Caenorhabditis elegans: one gene and its partners. The gene in region 4 interacts genetically with the main gene of each other region. Each region holds a gene or a part of one and is shown on either strand. Other genes may lie near its edges. The genes, in order: yju-2, pros-1, B0280.9 and clk-2.

Region 1 (5,771 bases), 330 kb from region 4:
TCAGCTCCTTTTTTACAGTTTTATCGGTGTTAACAATTTGGTTCATCATTATGAAAGCGGGATTTATTATAATTGCTCTTTGTTTTCTTTCTTTATTGCGAATCGGTTCAACTGCTCCAATGGGTGTTACTGTCAAAGCAAGTTATGATCAACAGATTATAAATTTAATAGGTCGGTACGTAAGATATTGTAGAATCTGTTAGAATATCGAAGTTAACTTTACTTTCCAAAAAATCTTTTCCAAGTTTTTTCAGTATGGATTTGTCCAGATCCAACACTTTTTGCAATGGTCCAATCAGCTTTGCAACAATATCGAACTGTTGATGACATCAATAAATCAGTTCAAGATCAAGTTTCGGGCTACCGTAATGCCATTTGGTTAGTGAACACGATCAACTACAGTAGGACGACAGCTGACACGGATCCTGGTCCCAACAGATCTTCCCAGAATTTGTGTTTCGTGCAGGCGCCAAATGAGAAATTGGTTGTTTTCGTGGCAGCAGCGGTAGCCTGATATGATTAAAAAATTTGTGTACTTTTTGGAATGAAATTTATAATTGATTTTTTGTTTCAATTCGAAAGAATGAAAATTATCTACAGAAAAGAGTTAATCAGAGTCAGAACCAGATCCGTAATCTGCGAGAAGTGAAAGTCCCGATGAAGCAGCTGAAGATGGTAGCGGAGGAGGAGCCGACGATGTAGATGAAGCAGTAGAAGATGTAGAAGGTTCAGATGGCTGAAAATAATAAATTATGTAACTAGGTCAAATTTTATTAATGCTCTGCAGATTTGAATTTTTTTTCATGTTCCCATATTATTCACAATCAGACACGTAAATTTGCTACAAAAGACGGTCCCCGGTCTCGACACGACAATATTTATAAAATACAAACGGGTGTGTGCCTTTAAAGAATACTGTGATTTCATAGCTTTGATTCAATGATTTCGCAGTAGTTTTTCGTTAAAATTATACTTATTTATTCTTTTGTATTCTGTATTCCTTCACGTCTCCCAGCGAGCGTAATAAATTATTATTATTATTATTTAAACAACTAAATAAAACAATTTAAACCACACAAAGTTTACCAAATTGAAAAAAAACTGAAAAGTAGATGAAAATTCCGCAGCATCGAAAGTTTGACATTACAGTACTCCTTAAAGGTGCACACCTGTTCGTATTTTACAAAGAAATGCGTGTTGAGACGGGATGCCGTATTTCTTGCGCAAAAATCACAAAATATCGCGGTCGGGTACTAAAAAAAATAATTAGTCAAGTTTCGAAGACATAATTTTTAACAACTGCAAAATTTGTTTTAAAAAATATTGTAGTGAAAATAAAAACAGAAATTTCAAAGAACATGCGCCTACGCCAATAAAAAAATTTGAGTGATGTATCCAGTGGATACAAAATTTAAATGGACTCCCTGACGTGTGGGCTGCTTCTACACTTTTTTTCTGCTCAAAATGGATTACTTTTCTGATACCCTACCTCATCAGAAATTTCACTATTTTTGAAATAATTTCTGGATAAACGATTTTCTAGCAAAACGGAAAACCGAAAATTTTCGTTTTCTCGGCCTTGAAAAAGATCAGAAAGTATTGATGTATATTGCGATAAACTACAAAATATCGAATCCGTTTCTTATTTTCATACCTTCGCTTTTTTGATCAATTTTATTCCCGCGAATCGATCTCTCTGCTCATTTCGTTTTCTTGAATTCCCTGAATCATCCATTCCAAGTTTCGGGATCGCTGGTTTAAGCATGGAAGAAGTAGATGGAACAACCGATGCGCTTGGACCAGGAATATCTTTATCATCTTCATCTGCACCATCTGAGTTATCCTCATCATCCTTAATACGTCGCTCGATTCGTCCTTCTGAAGTGATTCCCATGAGTTCTCTGAAAATTCTTGATTTTTCTAATTTCTTTTAATATCTTGACATACCTTGCCATTCGATCATCCTCGTCCTCCATCATTTTAATTCTCTGAGCTTGTGCGATATGAGGATCAGTTGACGACAAGAAACCAATGGTGTCGATACATTCTTTCGTTCTGCTTGATTCTTGAAGATCTTCCAGATTTCCCATTTCTTCCATTTCTTGACGACTTTGCATTGTTCTCTTTTCGAGCATTTTCATGGGATCCTTCGCATCTTCTGCTTCTTGTTCATCCACTTGTTTTTGTTGATCTTGGTAAAGCTGAAAATTAAATTATAAACGTTGCATATCTTTTATTCGAATTTTTGGACAAAAACTTTCAAATTTTAGATGATCCAGATAATTTTTTAATATTAAAAATGAAAAGTTGGAACTTCTCGGAAAATTCCGGGCATTTGTCACTACTTTCAGACAATTTTTGAGCATTTTTCAAAGGTTTTAACTAAAATGAAAGCTAATTTGGTCAATTTTTGTGAAAAATATTGATTATATAATTATCTTTTATAACTAGTTGTTTTCTTTCCAACGGTTAGATTTATCATGACCTCATAATTTTTTTTGGAATTTTCAAACTAAATGTTTCATAGTCACTCCTTCTCATATATTTAATCTAATCCTTTTCTATATCCTGTCATTGTTCTCATAAGCTCTTTGTTGCCGAGGAAACATCTCAAACTCTTCAATTATACACACCCACAGCCTTTTCTCATCTTTCTAATGATTTCTCGTGGCATACCGTAGTATTTTCAAAGATTTTTTGTCGAAAAACACTCTCATAAATAAATCTCTATGGTTTTCTTTGAATCCTGAAACCGTCAAGTATTGAAGTTTTTCTGCTGCCTAGCCAAGCTTTCATAGCCAATGCAATTATTCTTAGTTTCTATGTCACTTCCTTCATCTTTTATTTTTGACAGAGATCATCTTGAAATAATCATTCTCATGACAACGCCTCTTCCCAATTTCTATTACTTTGCACCACTAAATGGCATTTGGTGTCCACCACCTACAAGTATCTACACATTTTTTTCAATCTCGGTGAGTACAGATTCAGACAATTAAGGTCTATATCGCATTTCTAGAGCCCAGTGATTATGTACAGTCAAGTTCAAAATCAGATGTGGAAATTTTCGATTCCTAATCTAAATACATTTTATTCAAATATTATTCAACTGACTGAAGATCAACCTATGCATCTTTTGGAACCAGAAAAGCCAATGGAAATCGAAGTTGAAAATAGCAGTCACCTAGATTTTAAGAGGGTAAGATTCCAAAGTATATGGATTTCAAAATAAATTGTATTTTTAGGAGAATTCAGAGTATGACTTCAAAGTGGAAAAGGCTGACTACTCAGGTACGTCGGAATACTCAAAAACATAATATTTTTTATAATTCAGATATGCCTCAGCTCACTCGTATGGACTGTTAGCTACTAAAAATGTATAACTCAACATAACTTATTTGCAAATAAAGTTTTTTGTGCTTTTTCAAATAAAAATTATCTAAACACTCACTTTGACAGCTTCAAAAAGTCTTGTTGCTCCATGCTCATTCTGATAATCACAGTTTTCCAAATCAGTCTTGAAAGTAATTTCAGCGAGGCAATTAGGACATCGGAAATAGAATCGGAACAGTTTCAAACCGAGATACGTTTCTCCTTCAGCCGTTTCACGCTTCATGTTGAACTTTTTACCTGAAAATTTAGAATAACACATAAAGATTTTTTGGAGATTAAAATTTTATTTTTTTAATGGTTTTTTTTTGCTTCAGTGAACAAAATCACAAATTACCTTTATAAATATACTCATGGCATGTATTGCATTGCATGTTAAATGGTGTCATAACACGTTGAACGAATTGTCTGTAAAACGAAAAAAAATAAATGAAGAACTAAATTAAAAACAAAACTAACCTGTTTTTCTGTCCCTTTGCTCGTGGTATTTTTGATGGATCGAAATCCGGTGGATAGTATTTCTGAAGTTAGAAATAAATTAACAAAGGTACTCTTTTTTAACTGTTTTTTCTGCAATTTTTCATATTTAAACTAGCAAAAAAGCATGTAGGATAGTACTTTAGAATCTTCCTCACCTGGAAAACTTTTCTCTCGGTTCCTGTCATTGTTGATCACCTGTAAATTCAAAATAAAAATAAATGTATTGGTAGAATTTGAGAAAAACTAAATAAACGTCAATATTCACAATATTTTGTTTCGAAACCTAGAGACTCTATGTAACTCAGAGACGCAGAGAACATTTGCACTGGAGCGTGTTTACACTTACACACTTTGTAGAAACACAGATCCCGTAGAAAAAGATTTGTTGCAATTACATTCACAGTAATATCAAAATTATGAAAGAATGGTAAGTAAATAGCGATGGAAAAAAAACCTGCAAAAACACAGTAGCAAAAAATAATTGATTTAGCCGTAATTTATTCAAAAACTGAGTGAATGGGCATGAGCACAAGTGTAAGAATATGTACAAGAAATATCAAAATGTACAGGAAAATCAGGTTTTTGGAACTGAGGATGCACTAGAAGTGACATAAATTATACTCATATTTTTGAGTGGCACATTTGGGAAAAAGATAACGAAAAAAGTTAAAAATAAATGGCACGAGAATTTGAACCCTTTTGAACATATTTTACATCTAATTTTGAGCGTTATTTCGAGCAGCAGTTGGATTATTGGTTGGTGTAATGCTTTTGACGAATTTTCCAACAAGTTCAGTGAACATGTATGAAATACGGCAGAATGCAATTTTCGGAATTTCCTCTTCGTATTTTCTATTCCAATTTGCCTGAAACTATCAAAATTTTCAATTTTTAAATTTAAAATTAATTTCGAACCGGATAGCTGGTGATGATGAAAAATGGGAAGAGAAGTGCAAAAATGACACTGTTCACAAACATATTACTGCTGATTGAGCAAGCAAGTGCCAGGGGAGTTCCAAAACCAAGGAAGTACGGCCAGTGTGATTCGAAAATATCTTTGCGTCGAAGGAATGAAAGGTTGTAACCGTCGAAGAAGTAATCGAAACTGAAATATTATTAATATTATTTGATTTTCAAAGTTTCAGCTAAATCTTTTTTACCATTCTTATTTTAGAAATTTTGGCGATATTGGTGGTTCTGTTGTTTTTCTATTTTCAATTTTTGATACATTCCATTGGAGAGGTGCTGAGAAAGCATTAAATTGACTGATTGGCAAAAATTTAATTTATCGAAACTTTGATTTATTTTTAGTAAAAAAAATGTTTAAAACTTACCAGTACATTGAGTTAAGTAGAGCCATATGAAGATAAACGATAACTGGTGTGATAAGAGGAATTGGAAGATATTGCGAAAGCATTCCTTGAATGAGGAAAAAAATTTGATGGAGCGCAGAAATGAGAGTTCCCGCTAACATAGAACTGAAATTTTTTAGTTTTATTTTTTTGAAATAATTATTAAATAAACTAACCTAAAAGGAACGACAGGTGGTGGTGGCAATTTTAGAGCTCTCATACAGGCTCCTGAAATATCTGAGAACCAAAGTGCCTGAATGATTCGAGAAGCAAAAAAGATGGGAATAATCAGAATGTAGCCGATATTGTGACCCAAATCAGTTCGATCGAAAAAGCTGAAGAATAGACCAAGAATCAATATACAGACCTGCCACAGAACCAAGAAACCGATATTCATAGCATAGATTTGCCAGAGTCTGAAATAAAATTTATTCAGTTTTTAACATGTAAGTATAAAATACTTTTTCAAAAAGCTATCTTTCTTCTTCGGTGGTTCAGGAGGTCTTTTGAAAATTCCTTGTTTTTCTCGTCTCATCATTAAAACTGTTC
Region 2 (6,408 bases), 550 kb from region 4:
TTCATATGTATTCTGAAAATATACAGTTTTACTTGTTATCTTTTTTGTTTTTATTTTCGAACCAAAATTGGAACATCTTACTAAAAAATGGAAACTTTTCCTTTTTTTATCACTCGGCCGCCATTTATGAATTGCACACAAGAGGGGGTATACCTTAACATTATTTAAAGATTATTATTACACGGGCGAGAAATTTTGCGATGTTGTACCAAAAGTACGGTATCCGGTCTCGATACGACAAATGTTTATCAAATGCGAGAAGGTGTGTGGCTTTAAAGAGTACTGTAATTTCAAACATTCATTTCTGCAGAATTTTCTTTCACTTTTATCCTGTTTCTTTCATTTCGCAGCAACGAGATTTTGAAGTTACAGTACTCTTTAAAGGTGCACACCTTTTGGAACTTAATAAAAATATCGTGAGACCGTGTGCCGTGTTATAGGAGCAAAAATAGCAAAACTGACTATTAGCCACACCGATAAGAAGTCTGCATACTGTTTTTTTCCGGGCCAGATGCATGTAGGTTTCTGGTTTTAATTATAGGACCGCAAGTGATATTGAATGTTCCATATTTTCCATACCAATATTACAATAAGAAACATCGAATGAAAATATAGAAATCGGAGGCACAGAAAGTTTTGGGGAAAATGGAAACCATAATAGAATTGGAGGATTATGCCATGTGGCAAAATTGGGAATTTTTGAATGTTCAATTGAAACCAATAACACAAAAAGCGTTTGACAAAGAAAATGAGGAAGACGAGCTCCAGAGAGCTCAAATAAATATTAAATTGCACATTTTGAAATGGGGACTTAGAATGAAAGTTGTCAAGGAATGAGAGTTAAATTGGATGGGGTAATTGATATTCGAATGGGATGAGGGAAAACATGGGCAATAAAGTTTTAAAATCACAATGGAACACATAAACAAGGAAAACTGAAATATTGAGAAACTGATAATGAGAGGGAATATATGGTGATTATGTTTCAAGACGCTCGAGGAAGTTTGGCTCCTTGAAGAAGTCGGGAATCTGATCTTCCAATCGATTGATAACCTGCAAAAAGGGTAAGTTTGATTTTCTATTGGAATATGGCAAAACACAAAAGTTTAGAGCTTTCAAAATATTTGAGCACCAATTGAGAAACTCAAAAATTGCCACTCCTGCCTTGTGCACCTGTTTCATGCCTACATGTGCGCCTACCATTTCATGCAGACCTGCTCGTAGGCAACGCCCATCACATACCTACACGCGTGCCTACTGTCTTATTGTTAGAACTCTGTTATGAAGGCACTCCTACCTACCTTATAGATTGTTTTCTTCCATGATGGTTCAATATCTTTTCCCTGTTTGATTGCATCATGAAACTCACGAAGAGTCTCTTGAACCACAAATACAAGACGATCTGGTGCCTGCAAATTATATAAATTTAGTGTTGCTTACGAAAAGAAACCGTACCTTAATATGATTATTTCTGTTATAATGTGTATTCAAAACTTTGAAAAGTTCACTGTCTTTTGACACAAAAATATCATTTCTATCAGTAATTCCCTCAGCGAGAGCTTGTCTCGCGAACTTCTCCATCTGATTGTAGTAGAACTCTCTGAAAATATTTGAGTTGGTACAGTATAAGAAGAACCTATTTGATTTCGTCTCCCCATTGCCTAACTTCATCTCCTGAATCCAATTCAAATATAAATAATCTTCTCCTTCTTCATTTTCTTTTTTTGCCCACATTTTTATGATGAAGACGTCGACATGATGATGTCTTTTCTTCGCCAACGACGCGTATCACACCTTAAGACCCTTTTCTCATTGTTTGAAACGAAACGAGTTGGACTGAGAGAGACGAGGATTTGTTTGTTTTCTTTTTCACCTCATCACTTTTTCGAATTATGAAGCAGTATTTGTAATGGGAAAGGTCATTATGACTCCAAACAACAAAACAACAGGAGATAACCATGAAGTTAAGAAATCAATGGCGAGTACCAGAGAAGAATTTTCATTATTAAAACCAACCTGAAGTTACTGAACCATTTCACCAATTGTGCAGTGTTATTCTTATTGAATCGGATATCAGGGAAATACGATTTCAGCAGATTTGAATTTGGATATCGTGTGTAGAAAAACATCAGCTTTGCCTTTCTCAAGTGCATTGGTGTTAACATTGAACTTGAGCCACCACCTTCATATCCACATTCACTGAGCTCATCGGAATTTGTTGGTGAGTCCTCTCGATCTCCAAAGTTCATTCCACCGTAGTGTCCAACCATAGTTGGTGCTGGAAAGAATCTGGAGAGTGGTGGGCTGGCAGATGCACTCAATGGTGATGCACGGCTACTCATTGCGTCTTCTTTCTTGATTTCCACCTTTGTTCGCTTCTTTTTCATTTCCGACGAGGTATCTACGTCTTGAAGATTTCTTCGGAGAGCGTTGAATGCGTTAAATGCATTGAAGTTTGGAGGAAAAATTCCACCTCCAGCAACTGGATCTACAAGAGCAAAAAGCAAATATTTTTTCAAAAAATGTTGGGCCGAACCGGGGATTCAACCCGGGACCTCTCGCACCCAAAGCGAGAATCATACCACTAGACCATTCGGCCGACATTTTTCTGGTCAAAGGGCAAATAGAAAAGCTGTGTAAATAACTTACGATGTGGAGGCGCCATGTGGAACAATGGGTTTGCAGGGAAAATTGGATGGAATTGAGGTGGAGGTTGTGGAATCTGAGGAGGAGCAGCAGCTTCTTGCTTTAATACTTCATCGGCAGCCCAATCACGGATCACCTTTTCCAAATCTTTCATGAAATTGGTAACTAAATCTCCTTTAACCGAGGAGACAAGACGTTCGATGTTGATCTTTCCATTGTGCAAAATCTAAACATTTTCAGTTTAGAAAGTTAATGAACATTTTAATTGTATACCTGTGCCGCTGCAACCTGTTTCCGTTGCTGATCTAAAAATGCAGCATAAAATCGTCTCTGCTGCTCAGCGATATGTCCATTTTGAAGCTGAGCTTGAAGAGCCGAGAGTTCTCTACCTTCAGCTTCATCTGTAGTCTCTTCGGCTTCTTCTGTACCTCCAACAGTAACATTAATTTGCTCCGTTTCTGCAAAATTGAATTTATTAAATTTTCTTTTAAGTTAAGACAGTCAAGTTTATGAGTCAAGTTTATGATCAAGTTAATGTTTTCTATTATTTTTGTACTACAAATTTGACAGCTTATATGTATTTCAAAGGTCGTTGATTCTATTCAAAAGTTGTCAACTGACAAAATATTTGTTATGACTATCGTTTTGTAGTGTAATATTTATTGATTTGCTTAAAAGGAAGTGAGAATTTTTTTTTCAAAGTGAAGTAGTAGTTAACTAGCTAACAAACTTACTGACTTACTGAATACCTAACAAGTAAGTAAGTATGCAAGAACAACGGTAATATGATACATCAATTAATAAAACTAACCATCTCCAAATTCAATTCCTAACTCCTCTCCAATTTTCTGTGGTTGAAAGCTTTTCCTTTTTGAAGCAGAGCTACTGTTACTTTCAGGGCTCTCCCGTTCTTCTGATTCTTCAACTTCATCATTTGTATCATCAATAATTTCGAAATCATTCATTCCATCATCATGCTCTTCCATTCCATCTTTACCAGCTTCCGATTCTTCATTTTGAATCACTTTTTCCTATAAGAAAGTATCATAAATAACTAGGCTAATCTTATTATCCCCTCTTCCTCTCTCTTCTCGTACCTGTTCAATTGAAGCTGTCATCGTTTCCGTCTCAGTCATCCCTTCCGTTGACTTCTTTGAAGATGTTGAAGATGAAGAAGGTGTTGAATTTGTATTTGATGTAGACGATGATGAAGAACTATTTGAAGAGACTGATGTAGAGGCTCCCTGGAATAAAATGAAGGAGTAAAAGAGAGAATGAGATGAGCTGATTAGCAACCGCCACGAAATGAATATATTAGTTGATGGGAAAGTAAAGGAACAATGTATATGTCGCCGCCGAAATACAGGAAGACACTTATCTTATGATTATGACACGTAGATTTGCATATTTATTTTTTCGATTTTGTCGGGATTATCAAACGTTTCAGTTAGAAAACTGTGTTTTCCTTGAACTACTTTGCCAAGAAAAACATACCAACTTACAGTACAGTTAAATTTAGTTTTGACCATTTTTGTCAACTTTAAAGTTTCCAACATTTACGTTGCAGTTAACTAAAGCTACTACTAATTAACTGAGTTAACTGAAATCTACTTTGAAAACTTATATGCGTTTGGTTTTGCGTTTGGCATTTTGATTTCGTCAAAAATTCAGAGAGAGATAAGCTTTGAAAGGTGAGAAATGGAGATGCAAGACAAAAGTCCGGAGTATTGTATTGCCGGTTTAAAAATGTTTCTTGCCTACCTGATATGTGTTTCTTGGTTCACCGGCGTCAACTCTCTGTCGATGGCGTTTCACTTTGAATCGGTTACTTGAATTCGGGGTGGATCCGTTAGAGTTAACAGGGGGAAGTTGAGAGTAGTAAATACCGAATGGTGGGAATCCGTTGTTAAAGCTAAAACTTTGTTAGTTTTTTAAAGAGTTCCAGGGTAAAAGTCTGTTACCTGAATCCGTTGGCACTCGGTTGTGCGGTAGCAGCAATCGAAGGCAATCCAGATGACATTGATGACGTCACTAGCTATCTGAATTCTTGACAATTGGAATTGGAATACCTGAAAGAAAATAAAGAATTGAAATTGAATACGAATAAAGAGAAGGCAAGAAAAGCACAGTGGGGAGTCGAAATGTTATTAAATCAGAATATACATACACATATACAAGAGCCAAGGATATACATATTGAAATTGAAGGGGGTGGATTACGGTAACAACTTGAAAGTTTTTGTTATGTCATACTCAAAAATACATCTAATCTTTTCGATCATCATCAACATCATAACGGTCGTAAGTAGGATTATGCAAAAAAGGAAACGGGCGAAGACAAGTGACTTGCCACTTTCTGCCGAATTATTTTATTAGCATAATCTCTGTTTCCATACCGAAACAACTTTCAGATGTTTTACTGGAAGACGTCTACAGTATCTATAGGGTACTTAGGCGTCATGTCGTGTATGAATTCTCTAAATCTTACGGGATCAGAAAAAACTTCAATCAAGATCGCTAAAAGTTATAGAGAGTCTAAGATTTCTCTTAGCACCATTTTTTACAAAAACTCTTCGCTCAAGACCAATGGAGCTTCGGAAAATTTCCAATAAAATTTGAAAATGCTGAGAACCTAAGTGGAAAACTAATTTCCTTTTGCGAAAAGCAAAAAGGAAGAGATTTGTCTGAGTGACTAAAAGGAGCCAAAAGGAGGCACATATGTGTAGCTCACAAGAAACAATTTAGGTAATGGGTCTCTGGAGAAGGTTGAAGAAGATGAAAATGGAGACGATTGGGGACGACTACGGTAGTTTTTGAGAGAAACAGAAAGAAATTTGAGAGGAGCATTCTTTAATTCTCCCATAAATTTCACGTCATTCTTAAGAAGACTAAAGTTTTTGGGAAAGAAAATGTGTGAAGTTTTAATGGGACAAGAGGAGACCTAGGACAGGAGGACATATAGAAGTATACTTCAAAGTTTTCAAATCACCATGACTCCTAAACATTTCTCCTTTTTTAGTTTCTTCTCCCTTGACACTTTCGTTTTAGAATATAAATAAGAAAAAGAAATTGTGTGAAAAGAAGAATATCGGAAGAAACATTAATTTTTCATCGTATAAATTTGAGAGAAGAGAAGAATCTTATGCACTTGGCAGAACAATGGACGAAGATTGAATTCTTAATTTCGTCAACGTCTTCTTTTTTCGAAGAACATTCTAGAAAGATTTTGAGATTTGTACTTATTTTTTTTCTGATTTTTAAAATTTTATATTAAATTCTCGAAAAAATGGCTGAGCTTTTATTTTCCAGTTAAGTTTTTCTAAATTCTTATCTTTGTGTATACTTAGGATCATTGAAGCAATAACGCCTGTACGTACGCAACCTGGTGGGCCGCGTCAGCATAAACTCTAACATTTTCAGTCATTTTTGTACCTACCTACCTGTGCTTTGAAGAGTTTTTGCTAAAAGTCATAACTCGTAGGAAACTAGGTGGTAAACTAGGCGTAGGTCGCATTGAAAGCGAATCTTTTTGGTTTTTTGTAAATATTGATTTTGATCCCTAATTGTGGTTTTTTCCAAACTGTGAAAGCTTTTTCAAACACTAGGGTTCATGAAGTTTTGAGCATCGCAGGCATAGAGGCATTTTCGCAGTCTGCACTGTCAAAAGAATTCCAGATGCACATTGAATTTTCAGAAGAATATATTCAAGTAGTTTTCTTAGAAAATACAGAAATCAAAAGCATATCCTATAAGTTTCTGTAGT
Region 3 (4,374 bases), 390 kb from region 4:
AAAAATAATTAAAAAATGGCCAAATTGACAGATCGGAAAAGTTATAATTGTAGGTTTTTCGATAAGAAATCTGAATTCGTTTTCCTCTCAATCAAATAATCAACGATCACAATTCTAGAATTAAGACATCAAAACACAATAAAATCGGGTGACAAGTAGGTCGGTAAGAGACCATTGGTTATTGTGCTCCAGTGAAAAATCTGCCGAAAAACGGACTTTGGAGAAACAAATTAAACTTTTCTTGTTCCTCTTATACTAATTCTACCAGACTTCACGTGAAAAACTGACATTCATTGTTAATTTTTCGTCATTTTCGATCGTTCGTTGTGTTGTTCAACCCTTTTCTAACTGGCGACTATTGAGACAATTCTATGTCACTATAGTGTACAAAGAACGATCAAGTCATTTTTCGGTACAGACTAGGACTACGTTCAACTGTTTTTGAATTTTTTGTGCAAACGTCGGTTTGTATTTTTAAATCTTCCAGTGGTTCAAAAGCTGCTCTGGAAGTTGGAATAAAAACGATAAATTTTCATAACAACAAAAAAACGGATGAAGAATAAAAACAAAACAATTTGGACGAAATCAACGACAAAGAAAAGAATAACAATGTTAGAACCAATTAATAGTCTGTAAAATGATGAATTTCAAAAACATGAAGACGTCCATCATCGTTTCCAACGGCCATATATCCTCCATTTGGAGAAAACTCCACACATCTTGCATGTGTCACTTTTCCGTTTCTTTCCGGGAAGTTTTTGAATGTTGTCTGACTTGCCACGTGGACGAGACGAAGATGATTGTCCTTGACATTTGAACAAATTGCCATCAATTGAGCATCAGAATTGAAAGCGATTGATGAGACCGCGGTGACGAGATTAGAAACATTGAAAAGTGGACGAGGATTTGTAGAATTGCGGCAATCATTTCCAGAATAGACATTCACGATTCCGGTATCACTTCTGGAAATTTCAAATTTTCATCATATAATCAGGATGTATGTAAAGACTAGGTCATTTATTTTCACCGGAATTCAACAAAAAAAGATTTTTTTTTTTAAATTTTTGTTGCTAAACTGAAAATATCAACAAAAAAAAAGATGTAGCAAACTGTACAATTATATTAATATATGAATTATATGAATGAATGACAGTATCGTGATTTTACGAATTATAAAAGTTTGATTTTAAAAAAGCTTACCCAGTCGCAAAGTAATCTCCATGTTGGCTGATGGCGAGTGTTGTTCCGTGCACAGCTCCATCGTCGGTGAATGTATGTTGCGATGATTTGGTTCCCGGCAATCCAATGTTTGCGATCACAATTTGGCCGGTCTCTAGAAATTTCGAATAATTTTTGAATTTTTGGCAATATAAAACCAACCGCAGATGATCCAAATTTCACGGCTGTGCGATGGGAAAAACTTGATTTCTGACGCATTTGCTGGGAGTGATATTGTTGTGATATGCTCCATCGACTGAAACATTTTACATTTAAACTTTTAATTTGCCAATAATTTAATTTTTTGACATACAGTAGCATGGAGAACATAGATGTGAGAATTGTGTCCTGCAATTGCCAAAAATTGAGAGTCATGCGAAATGGCAAAGAGCCGAATTCCTTGCTTTGGTACTGCTGTAAAATGTTCAAAGTTTTGCTTCAAATTTTATTAAATATTAAACGTACTGTTTGGAGGTTTCAACTGTGTCACTTCTCTTGTTTCCATATTGTACTGCATCAAATATTCCTTTCGGCTTGAAGAACAGATCACAGAGTGTCCTTTATCAGCAATTTCCAGACTATCAATCGGGAATTTTGAGAAATTCGCACTTTGAAGGAAACGATCCTTTTTAACCTCACGACTTACCTGAAATAAGTAAGGAATGGTTTAATTAAAACAGAAAACACAACTTACTTTAAAAAGTTGAACATTTCCACCTTGATCGGCAACAATGAGCACTGGTCGGGTTTTATGAAATTTAACAACAGTGATTCCACGAGTGTATCGGTGTCCGATGTTGAAATCTTTTATAAGAGTTGTATGAATAGTTGTTTTTGGTAAATTCACGTCTTTCGCCAAATATCCGGCAGCAGTTTTCAACAATGACCCTTCTTCTTCGTCTCCTAAAATTGTAAAATACGATTTTTGAACTATTGATTTTCCAAAAACCTGCAGCAGCCTTAGCCCATTTTGGTGTGCCTCCGTGGCGTTTTCTGAACGCCTCTTGCAATCTACCAACGTATTCCTAAAATATTAAAATTATTTTTCAGAAGTAATTTATCCTTCTGCCTATTTTCAATTATATAATCTTTATTACACGTTGAATAACGTATTTCTAAAAAAAATTTACCTTTGAATCCAATTCTCCATGTTCTTCGTCTGTGGTTCGCTTGAGTTCAACTCGCATTGTCATTTTCACTTTTTTTGGAACCGCCACAACCATATTATCGTCGTCCTCATCGTGCCACGCAGGCTTTTCAGACTCAATCACTGGCCGTTTGCTCATTTCTCTGAAAATTGTTCAAAATAACCTTAATGAAAGATTCAATAAGCTGAAAATTAAAGAAAATTCGGAAAAGAAAAAAGAAAAATGAGAAGCAATTGTCGTCAAATAGTGTGTGTTATCGTAGTTTTAGTGCAAACACCGTCACGTCTCAATGCAGAATTTCATTAATTTCAGTATTTCAGCTGAAAATTTCAGTCTTTCTTATCAATTTACTATTGTTTTCGTTTTCTTTTCAGCATTTTTGTATGTTTTCTACAAAATTTCCATTATCAGGAGTATTGCGAACCGCCAGAATGGTCACCTCCACCGGCCCTGAAGCAGAACTGGCTCCTATTGAGCAGGCGAAGAAACGAGTAAGTCAAAAATTAAGACCAATTCCAACCCTCATTAATCATTTCAGGCTGCGTTTGCCTGCGGTGAAAAATATGTGCAAAGTGGTTGCCGTCTTGGTGTTGGATCCGGAAGCACTGTCAAGTATTTGGTAGAATATCTTAAACAAGGATTTCAGAATGGAAGTCTCAAGGATATCATCTGTGTTCCAACCAGTTTTTTGGTAAACAGATTTTCAACAAACCCAATTGTTATAAATAAGTATTTCAGACAAAACAATGGCTGATTGAGTCTGGTCTCCCTGTCTCCGATTTGGATTCACATCCAGAACTGGATGTGTGTATTGATGGAGCTGATGAAGTTGACGGACAGTTCACGTGCATCAAAGGCGGAGGTGGATGTCTGGCTCAAGAAAAAATTGTTCAAACCGCTGCAAAAAACTTTTACGTGATCGCTGATTATTTAAAAGATTCCAAACACTTGGGTGATCGCTATCCGAATGTCCCAATTGAGGTAAATTATTTAACTTTTTATAATTATCAGTAAAGAAAGATGCACTAAAGAATAAACTTTAGAACAATAGTTTTTTCTAAATAGATGTAGTTATGTTGACTGTTTTTAATGAGATTTATTGCAGGTTCTACCTCTTGCTGCTCAACCACTTCTACGTTCGATTCCACGCGCTGAAGGTGGAAGCTGTCAACTTCGACAAGCTGTCAAAAAGTGCGGACCAATTGTGACAGACAATGGAAACTTCATTATTGATTGGCAGTTCGAGAAAAACGTATCCGGAAGAGATTGGTTCGCGATTCAGCAACGATTGGCCAATACACCAGGAATTGTTGAAACCGGATTATTCATCGGTTGCGTCGACGCAGTATTCTTCGCGTACTCTGACGGATCTGTCAAGGAAATTGTCAATTCCAAGAAGCACTGACTACTTGCATCGAATTTTGTTCATATTGAAAATTAGTTGTTTCTTATCACCACCACACTCTCCAAACTTCACTTTTCCTCTTCCCAGTTGTTGTGAAAATTGTACCCATTCATTCCCAATGTTCCTAGTATACGTGTAGTTCTTAGAATAGCCCCAATAAAAATTGTGTTGAAAAAACGTCTTTCTTAAAAAACTGAAAAAAAAATTAGAAAACTCTGAAAACGTTTTGAAATGTAAAGTGTCTGGATGTAAAGTGTCTGAAACTGTTTAATTTCAAATTACAGTAGTCTTGAAGTGTATGAATGGCGAGGATAGCTTAAAGATTGAAAGAAATGAGAATTTGCTTCCTAAATGACTCATTGGAGGCGGTAAAATTAAGAGCGAGCAATAATTTCAAAAATACTGATAAAGTTGGGAAATAAGTAAATATTTCAAAATTTTTAACAATTGCTGTATTAAAAAGCACTTTCGTCAAATCGTATCATTCGTATTCTATTCATTCCAGATTGTTCAAATTTTAATTTCCAAATGATTACATCTGAATTGAGTGATTTCCTCGAGATCAACGAAAAAAATAGTGTTCTAAGAGGAATATCGGCAAGC
Region 4 (5,828 bases):
TTATTATTTAATTGTAGATGACGATCCCGGGACAATCAATATCTAATTGGGATCTCATGGAAAGACTAAAACGTGCAATTGATCCAATTCAAATGGATTCTTGCAAAGTTCGTGAGAGCAATATCGACAGTGTTATTTTTGAAGCGGAACTTCTTTCGCTAGGAATCATGCAGAAAACGATGAAGATTCTCGATGGATTCTCTATGAAAGTGTCTGGATTTGCTGAGCCCTTGAAAGTTAAAACAAAAGAGGCAAAGCTTGATTTTCCAAGTCGTCATGATTGGGATGATTGGTTTATGAAACATAAGATGGACGAGATGAAACCCGGAGAACGTCCTGATACAGTTTATTTGGCAAGAATTCCAGTGAAATGGTTCTGCGTACGTTGCTCCATAACATTGCATTCGAATTTATTTCACCAAACACATTTTTAGGATGGTTACAATGATCTTCCTTCTGAACGACGTCTTCGCGTTGCAATGGAAGCGTTCGGATCTGTTAGAGTTGTCGACATTCCAATTTGTGACCCACTCCGATCTCGAATGAATTCAAAAATCTCTGGTATTCAGCAAAAAGGTTTCGGATTAGGGCAGGTATCGCAGTGTTTTATTTGTAAAATCAAACGAATTGAATTTTTAGGATGTATTTTTTGAAGCATATGTGCAATTTATGGAGTATAAAGGTTTCGCCACTGCCATGGATTCCCTGAGAAATCGTAAATGGGCAAAACGAATTGATGGACGGTTCTTTCAGGCTAATGTCAAGGTATAGTAGGGTAGTAGAGTTAGTTTGCAATTTTGAAAAATCTATCACATTATTTCTAAACGTTCAATATCAATTTTAAAAATTGCATATTCTTCGCTGAAACGAATCACCTCGTGCCACTCTACAGGTTAGTTAATTTCCCAGAATTAAGGTTGAGAAATAGCTTAAAATTTCATAGGTGGATTTCGATCGATCACGTCATCTCAGCGAAGTTCAAATTGCAAAGCGAGCGGAAGAACGACGTCAAATTGAAACGGAACGACTGCGGCAAGAAGAAGAGGAGTTGAATATCAAGTTTGTTGATGCTACAATTTTAAAAATAACTCACCTCTTCAGACGTCAAGAAGAACTGAAAGTTAAACAAGAACTCGATGATAAAGATAGAAGACGAGAAGATAGAGAACGGAAACGCCGCGAAAAGGTTCACTTGAAACGTTTCAAAAAATCATAATAAAACATACGAAATTTCAGAGGGAACTCGAACGAATGGCTGAAGAAGAGAAAAAACGCCTTGAAAAGGAACGACTTGAAGCAGAGCAACGATCACGAGCCACTCGCCGTTTGCAAGGTGTTCGTCTTTTGAAGTTTCTGTTTGAAAAAATTGAAGCACGAGAAGAGAGACGAAAGAGAAAAGAAGAAGAAAAGTTGAAAGATGAGCTGAGCAAAATCAAAGAACTTGAAGAACAACCTGTAGAACAAGAAGACGCATTGAGGCAAGCTCTACTTCAGCAGAGGGAAATTCGAATGCGAGAACGCTTGAAAGAGAAGATGAAAGCTTCAGGAGCAGAGAAGGATAAGAAGAGAGATAAAAATAAGACTTCTAGAAGAAGACGAACTAATAGACATGACAGTGAGTTACCTTAAAATTATTGTCTATTTTTTAATTAAACTTTTTTTTTCAGCTTCATCCTCTTCATCCGAAGATTCTGATTCTCCATCTGATTCTCCCCACTCTCGTCGACAAAGAAAACGTCAAAGTGAAGGAGATGATTTCCGGAGACATCATCATCGGGAGAAAAGTAGAAAACGTGGATCCTAAGAAAACGCGGATCCTATTTTTGTTTCCTATTATTTTACCGGTAATTTCACTTTTTTTAAAACATATTTTTTGATTTTTTTTTCAGAATCTCAATAAACGTATTTACCTCTATTTTTTCTCGTGCATTATTAAACCCTAACCTGGTTTAATTTACTACTCCACGTTCAATTACCTTTCCTGAACGCGAGCTTCGCATTAAAAACAAATTTTCAGATGAATTTACGAAGTCGCCTGGTAAATGCCACGGAACGTGCTGTGCTTTTTCAAATTTTCAAAGATGTGCAGAATGATCCGGAAAAGTACGACAATGCAGTTGAGGCGATCTGTGAATCAATCGACTATTTTGGCAAATTTTTGACCGATAGCGAGGTATTGTCCTGAATTCAATATTTGTGTAATGTTTTATATTTCTAATTGTAGTATCTTACACAAATCAAGCCGATTCTTGATACACAGTGCCCAACAAAGTCGATAATTTGCTTCTCGAAATGTTTGACAAAAGTGAGCACAGATATAAATACTACCACATTTCGAGATGTGATCACCATGCTCGACTGGTTGAAGTATGTCGTTGAAAAATCGCTGACAAGTGCTATTTGTAGCAGTCTGAAAGTTAAAGAAACTGATGGTATGTGATCAAAAATAATTATTCTTCAACTGAGGATTTTTGTTTTTTCAGTCAGTGCAGTTCAGTTGTATCGAGAATTCGCATCAGCATGTTCAAATATTCCGGAGAAAGTTTCGAATTGTTGTGCAAAGGCATTGTCTGGCGAGCATGTCAAATATATCAACACGGTTAAGTGGATATTCAAAGTGGGTTTATAAGTGAAATATCGAGATAGATAACTTCAATTTTCCAGATGAATCTGGTGCAAGGAATTCAAAAGGCTATGCTTCTTGCTCACGACGACATTGTAACTGCTGCCCCGTTCACTTCATTCTACGGATCCGGTGGTCCTTATATGAAGACTGTCGCAGAAATTATTTCATCTGGAAGAAACATAGATATCACCAACAAGGATGGGCTTCTAGTTCAAATGATTGAATGGATTGGTTCACTAAACAATTTTGATTCTCAATGGCGTCGGATGATGTTTCTCATCTTCCAAGAGCCCACATATCAGGGAATTCAAGTTCATGAATCACTACTGACAACATTGTTCCTAATTTCGAAAAGTGACCAAATCTTGAAAGTTAGTGGTTAAAATATAGTTGATTATATGAAAACCAGTAGTTTCTTTCAGCGATGTATCGAAGCCACTGATCTGACTGGAACACTGAAGCGTGTAGTGATGGTTAAGCTCCCGTTTCAGCGAGTTCTCAAACGAAAGACCATCGAGATTCTTATCAATTTTGTTTATCGAACTAAGGAACAATTTGCCATCCAGCTATTAGAGGTAGGGTTTTGAATCTATATTTTCCGTATTTAGCGAAGTTTTTTTCCAGACTTCTGTGAAAATCTGGAGTGATCTCAATTACGCAAAAAGTGCTCCAGAATCACAAGAACGACACATAGTCAGAATGATATTATACTTGGTTCATCTTTTCAGGTAACAAATATATTAAGAACTACAGTAATAACCTGTCCTTTTAGAACATGTTCTTCAATCGATTGGGAGTCACTCTTCCTGAACTCTATGGATGGAGTTCATTGTCGAATGAGCATGTTGCCTATGTACGTCCAAAGTGGTATTTTTGTTAATCAAGCACTGTGCAAGCAAGCGACAAAGCATCGATCGAAAACGCACGGATCAGATGAGCAACCTCCAGAGACTCTAGAAGAAAACAAATTCGTTTCAAGTGAAGTGGGAAAAATATGGTTTGAAGAGATGACGTCAATTTTGGAACATGGATTTAATTCTTCTACAGTGAAAGATTCTGAGCGAGTTCGAGAAACCGCCAACGAAATAACCAAAGACGATTCGGGTGAAGAATTTGAAGAAACCAATGCACAGCGTCTTCAAAACAACAAAGATTCGGCAGCAATCACATCGAAAAACAATCTACGTTTAGATTCTGATGATGACGAAGACTTTCCTGACTATCAAGTTAATGAATCAGAAAAGATCTTCAAGAATTTAGAAATTGGAGAAGAACCGAAAAATAAAGTGACACCTCCAGCATACATTGCAGATGCTTTCGAAATGCTATTAGAGAAAGAAAAATACGAGGTTTTTGAAGCAGCTTTCTTTAATATTACGAATTTGATCAATCGCCGGCCAATTGGATTTCCACAAATCGCTGAGAAGTTGTTCATCCGAATCCTCCATCTTCAAAACAATTTTGGAACGCCTAAATTCAAGGAAACTGTTGATGAAATTGCAGTTGCATGTATCACTCAGCGTCCAGAAATTGTCCCATCTGTAGTGCGTCTGATCATTGCACCAGGTCAAGGTTTCAGTATCAAACAACGTCTTCTTCATTACATTCACAATGCTGCTGATGGAATGGGTGCATTGGATAAGAAACTTGAAGAGTGTGTAATGGCGCAACAATTGAGAATTGGTGGTCCAACGTTAAGTATTATTCTTCATCGAACTATAAACACTGATTATGACGATGAGGATGAAGATCCCCACAGACTTTTAGTTCCTGAATGGCGACGAATGGTGGATGCTCGCATTGCTGCAAATACCAGAAGAATTGGAACGACGCGAGAGCCACCAAGAGCCGGAGTTGTCAATCGTCTCGCACAAGCTGCCAAATATATGTTTTATCCTTTGTTGGTTTTGCCACGTGGTGAGAACGCAAGTCTTTTGGTGAGTACATATGTTTCACAACTTGTCAATTCCTAGTTTATTACGTGTTTTATCTTAGCAATTTTAGAATTTAAACGTCTGATTACTCTAACTAGAAACATTTCAGGGCAAGGACTCCGATCTACTCGCCTCACTCATCATGGTTGCATCGATGGTTTATGTGAGATGTGGCGTATGTCCTCAAATTCATCGAATGTCAAGGTATACCTTTTAACAAGGTTGTGTACAAATTAGTTTTCCTGAATTTCAGTGAGCTTATATCATATGCAACGCCTCATCGATTCTCTGAAAACGCAAAACTACGGACTGCCTGCATCATTGCCCATCTGAATGTGACGACTTTGTTGCCTGGAGATGTTAGTTTGAAAATCAATTTTATTTGATGTTTAACCAAATATTCAGCTTATGGATGAACTGTTTGATGTACCGGCACTTATTGGATGGTTTGATTGGGCCAATTCTGTACTGGTTAATGCATCTTCATCACAATTGGAAAAGGATATGACTCGCCAGTTTGGTCATAGTGTTACAAAACACCTTCAACGTTATCATCCAGCTGTACTGCAACACCAAGACGTTTAAATAGTTACTATTCACTTGTTTTCCTTCTTTTCAAGTACTGTATCATTTCTTACTATCTTGCCAACACTTTGATCTCTACCTCGTTCACTTCTTGCTTTGCCACCCGTTGATATCACCTGTCTCATTCATTTATCAGCATGTTCATAATATCAAAAATAAAATCTTATCAAATGTATTTTACAAAACTGATTGAGTTGACCCGCTTGTTGAAACATTCCGGCTCTTGTGTTCTAGTTAGACGATGCTCCTGATTCGGATGACTTGGCGCGGCCCACGTACAGGTCAATTAGGTTCAGCTGAAAATCGAATGTCTCTTCAAGAAATTTAGTTAAATCCTTACTTTACTGGCATTTAAAGTTCTCAAGTGTGGCTCCATTCTTTGCATTCCAACTCTCTGAACCAGGGCGACTAATCCGAAAACTGCACATTTTCTTACTGTAGATGACATTGATTCGTAGGCAGTGACAAAACATGGTGCAACGTCATTGACAATTAAGTGTAACTCCTCAATATCAATATCTTGGAACATTCTCGTCAACATTTTCAGAATCAGAACACCACGTTGATCATCATCATCTTGACTCAAAATTCGCCTGGAGATCAGAACGACACGCGTAAGAGGCAGATGAGAAGCCAGGATTCGAAGACAATCTTCTGCTGCAACACCCATCGTGTTGTCATCA

What was found.
Region 1: changes in clk-2 (region 4) and yju-2 together harm fitness more than expected from each alone (negative genetic interaction), as found in Caenorhabditis elegans (one large-scale study listed by BioGRID).
Region 2: changes in clk-2 (region 4) and pros-1 together harm fitness more than expected from each alone (negative genetic interaction), as found in Caenorhabditis elegans (one large-scale study listed by BioGRID).
Region 3: changes in clk-2 (region 4) and B0280.9 together harm fitness more than expected from each alone (negative genetic interaction), as found in Caenorhabditis elegans (one large-scale study listed by BioGRID).

The regions. Positions count from the first base shown.
Region 1 is NC_003281.10:7,182,632-7,188,402, reverse strand, and holds yju-2 (Splicing factor YJU2), read right to left. Parts: upstream 4,068-5,771; 5' UTR 4,056-4,067; coding exon 4,026-4,055; intron 3,912-4,025; coding exon 3,850-3,911; intron 3,799-3,849; coding exon 3,728-3,798; intron 3,631-3,727; coding exon 3,452-3,630; intron 3,451-3,451; exon of another isoform or gene 3,367-3,450; coding exon of another isoform or gene 3,335-3,366; intron 3,292-3,334; coding exon of another isoform or gene 3,246-3,291; intron 3,200-3,245; coding exon of another isoform or gene 3,020-3,199; intron 2,976-3,019; coding exon of another isoform or gene 2,880-2,975; exon of another isoform or gene 2,830-2,879; intron 2,202-2,829; coding exon 1,948-2,201; intron 1,902-1,947; coding exon 1,655-1,901; intron 737-1,654; coding exon 608-736; 3' UTR 535-607; downstream 1-534. Other genes in the region: F37C12.21 (uncharacterized protein), read right to left, coding at 1-46; F37C12.10 (uncharacterized protein), read left to right, coding at 51-171, 255-514; F37C12.14 (Ovule protein), read left to right, coding at 2,880-2,975, 3,020-3,199, 3,246-3,291, 3,335-3,366; epg-4 (Ectopic P granules protein 4), read right to left, coding at 4,587-4,736, 4,786-4,975, 5,205-5,348, 5,399-5,638, 5,684-5,771.
Region 2 is NC_003281.10:8,065,596-8,072,003, reverse strand, and holds pros-1 (Homeobox protein prospero homolog 1), read right to left. Parts: upstream 4,716-6,408; 5' UTR 4,667-4,715; coding exon 4,608-4,666; intron 4,559-4,607; coding exon 4,408-4,558; intron 3,891-4,407; coding exon 3,744-3,890; intron 3,678-3,743; coding exon 3,458-3,677; intron 3,105-3,457; coding exon 2,920-3,104; intron 2,873-2,919; coding exon 2,650-2,872; exon of another isoform or gene 2,519-2,649; intron 2,489-2,518; coding exon 2,017-2,488; intron 1,601-2,016; coding exon 1,456-1,600; intron 1,410-1,455; coding exon 1,302-1,409; intron 1,054-1,301; coding exon 979-1,053; 3' UTR 541-978; downstream 1-540. UniProt on the Caenorhabditis elegans protein: Transcription factor involved in developmental processes. Controls the transcription of genes required for excretory canal formation.
Region 3 is NC_003281.10:7,120,388-7,124,761, forward strand, and holds B0280.9 (U3 small nucleolar RNA-associated protein 18 homolog), read right to left. Parts: upstream 2,509-4,374; 5' UTR 2,505-2,508; coding exon 2,349-2,504; intron 2,244-2,348; coding exon 2,168-2,243; intron 2,122-2,167; coding exon 1,913-2,121; intron 1,865-1,912; coding exon 1,684-1,864; intron 1,633-1,683; coding exon 1,532-1,632; intron 1,475-1,531; coding exon 1,381-1,474; intron 1,334-1,380; coding exon 1,201-1,333; intron 963-1,200; coding exon 623-962; 3' UTR 518-622; downstream 1-517. Other genes in the region: rpia-1 (Probable-ribose 5-phosphate isomerase), read left to right, coding at 2,798-2,857, 2,905-3,057, 3,105-3,347, 3,472-3,771; B0280.2 (uncharacterized protein), read left to right, coding at 4,300-4,374. UniProt on the Caenorhabditis elegans protein: Involved in nucleolar processing of pre-18S ribosomal RNA.
Region 4 is NC_003281.10:7,514,714-7,520,541, reverse strand, and holds clk-2 (Telomere length regulation protein clk-2), read left to right. Parts: upstream 1-2,017; coding exon 2,018-2,173; intron 2,174-2,224; coding exon 2,225-2,432; intron 2,433-2,483; coding exon 2,484-2,617; intron 2,618-2,664; coding exon 2,665-2,997; intron 2,998-3,048; coding exon 3,049-3,201; intron 3,202-3,250; coding exon 3,251-3,354; intron 3,355-3,398; coding exon 3,399-4,563; intron 4,564-4,669; coding exon 4,670-4,764; intron 4,765-4,813; coding exon 4,814-4,919; intron 4,920-4,965; coding exon 4,966-5,145; 3' UTR 5,146-5,320; downstream 5,321-5,828. Other genes in the region: akap-17A (RRM domain-containing protein), read left to right, coding at 18-380, 435-593, 640-765, 944-1,059, 1,102-1,186, 1,237-1,615, 1,668-1,804; cls-1 (Protein CLASP-1), read right to left, coding at 5,376-5,441, 5,486-5,828. UniProt on the Caenorhabditis elegans protein: DNA damage checkpoint protein required for DNA damage-induced cell cycle arrest and apoptosis, thereby playing a role in genome stability. Regulator of telomere length.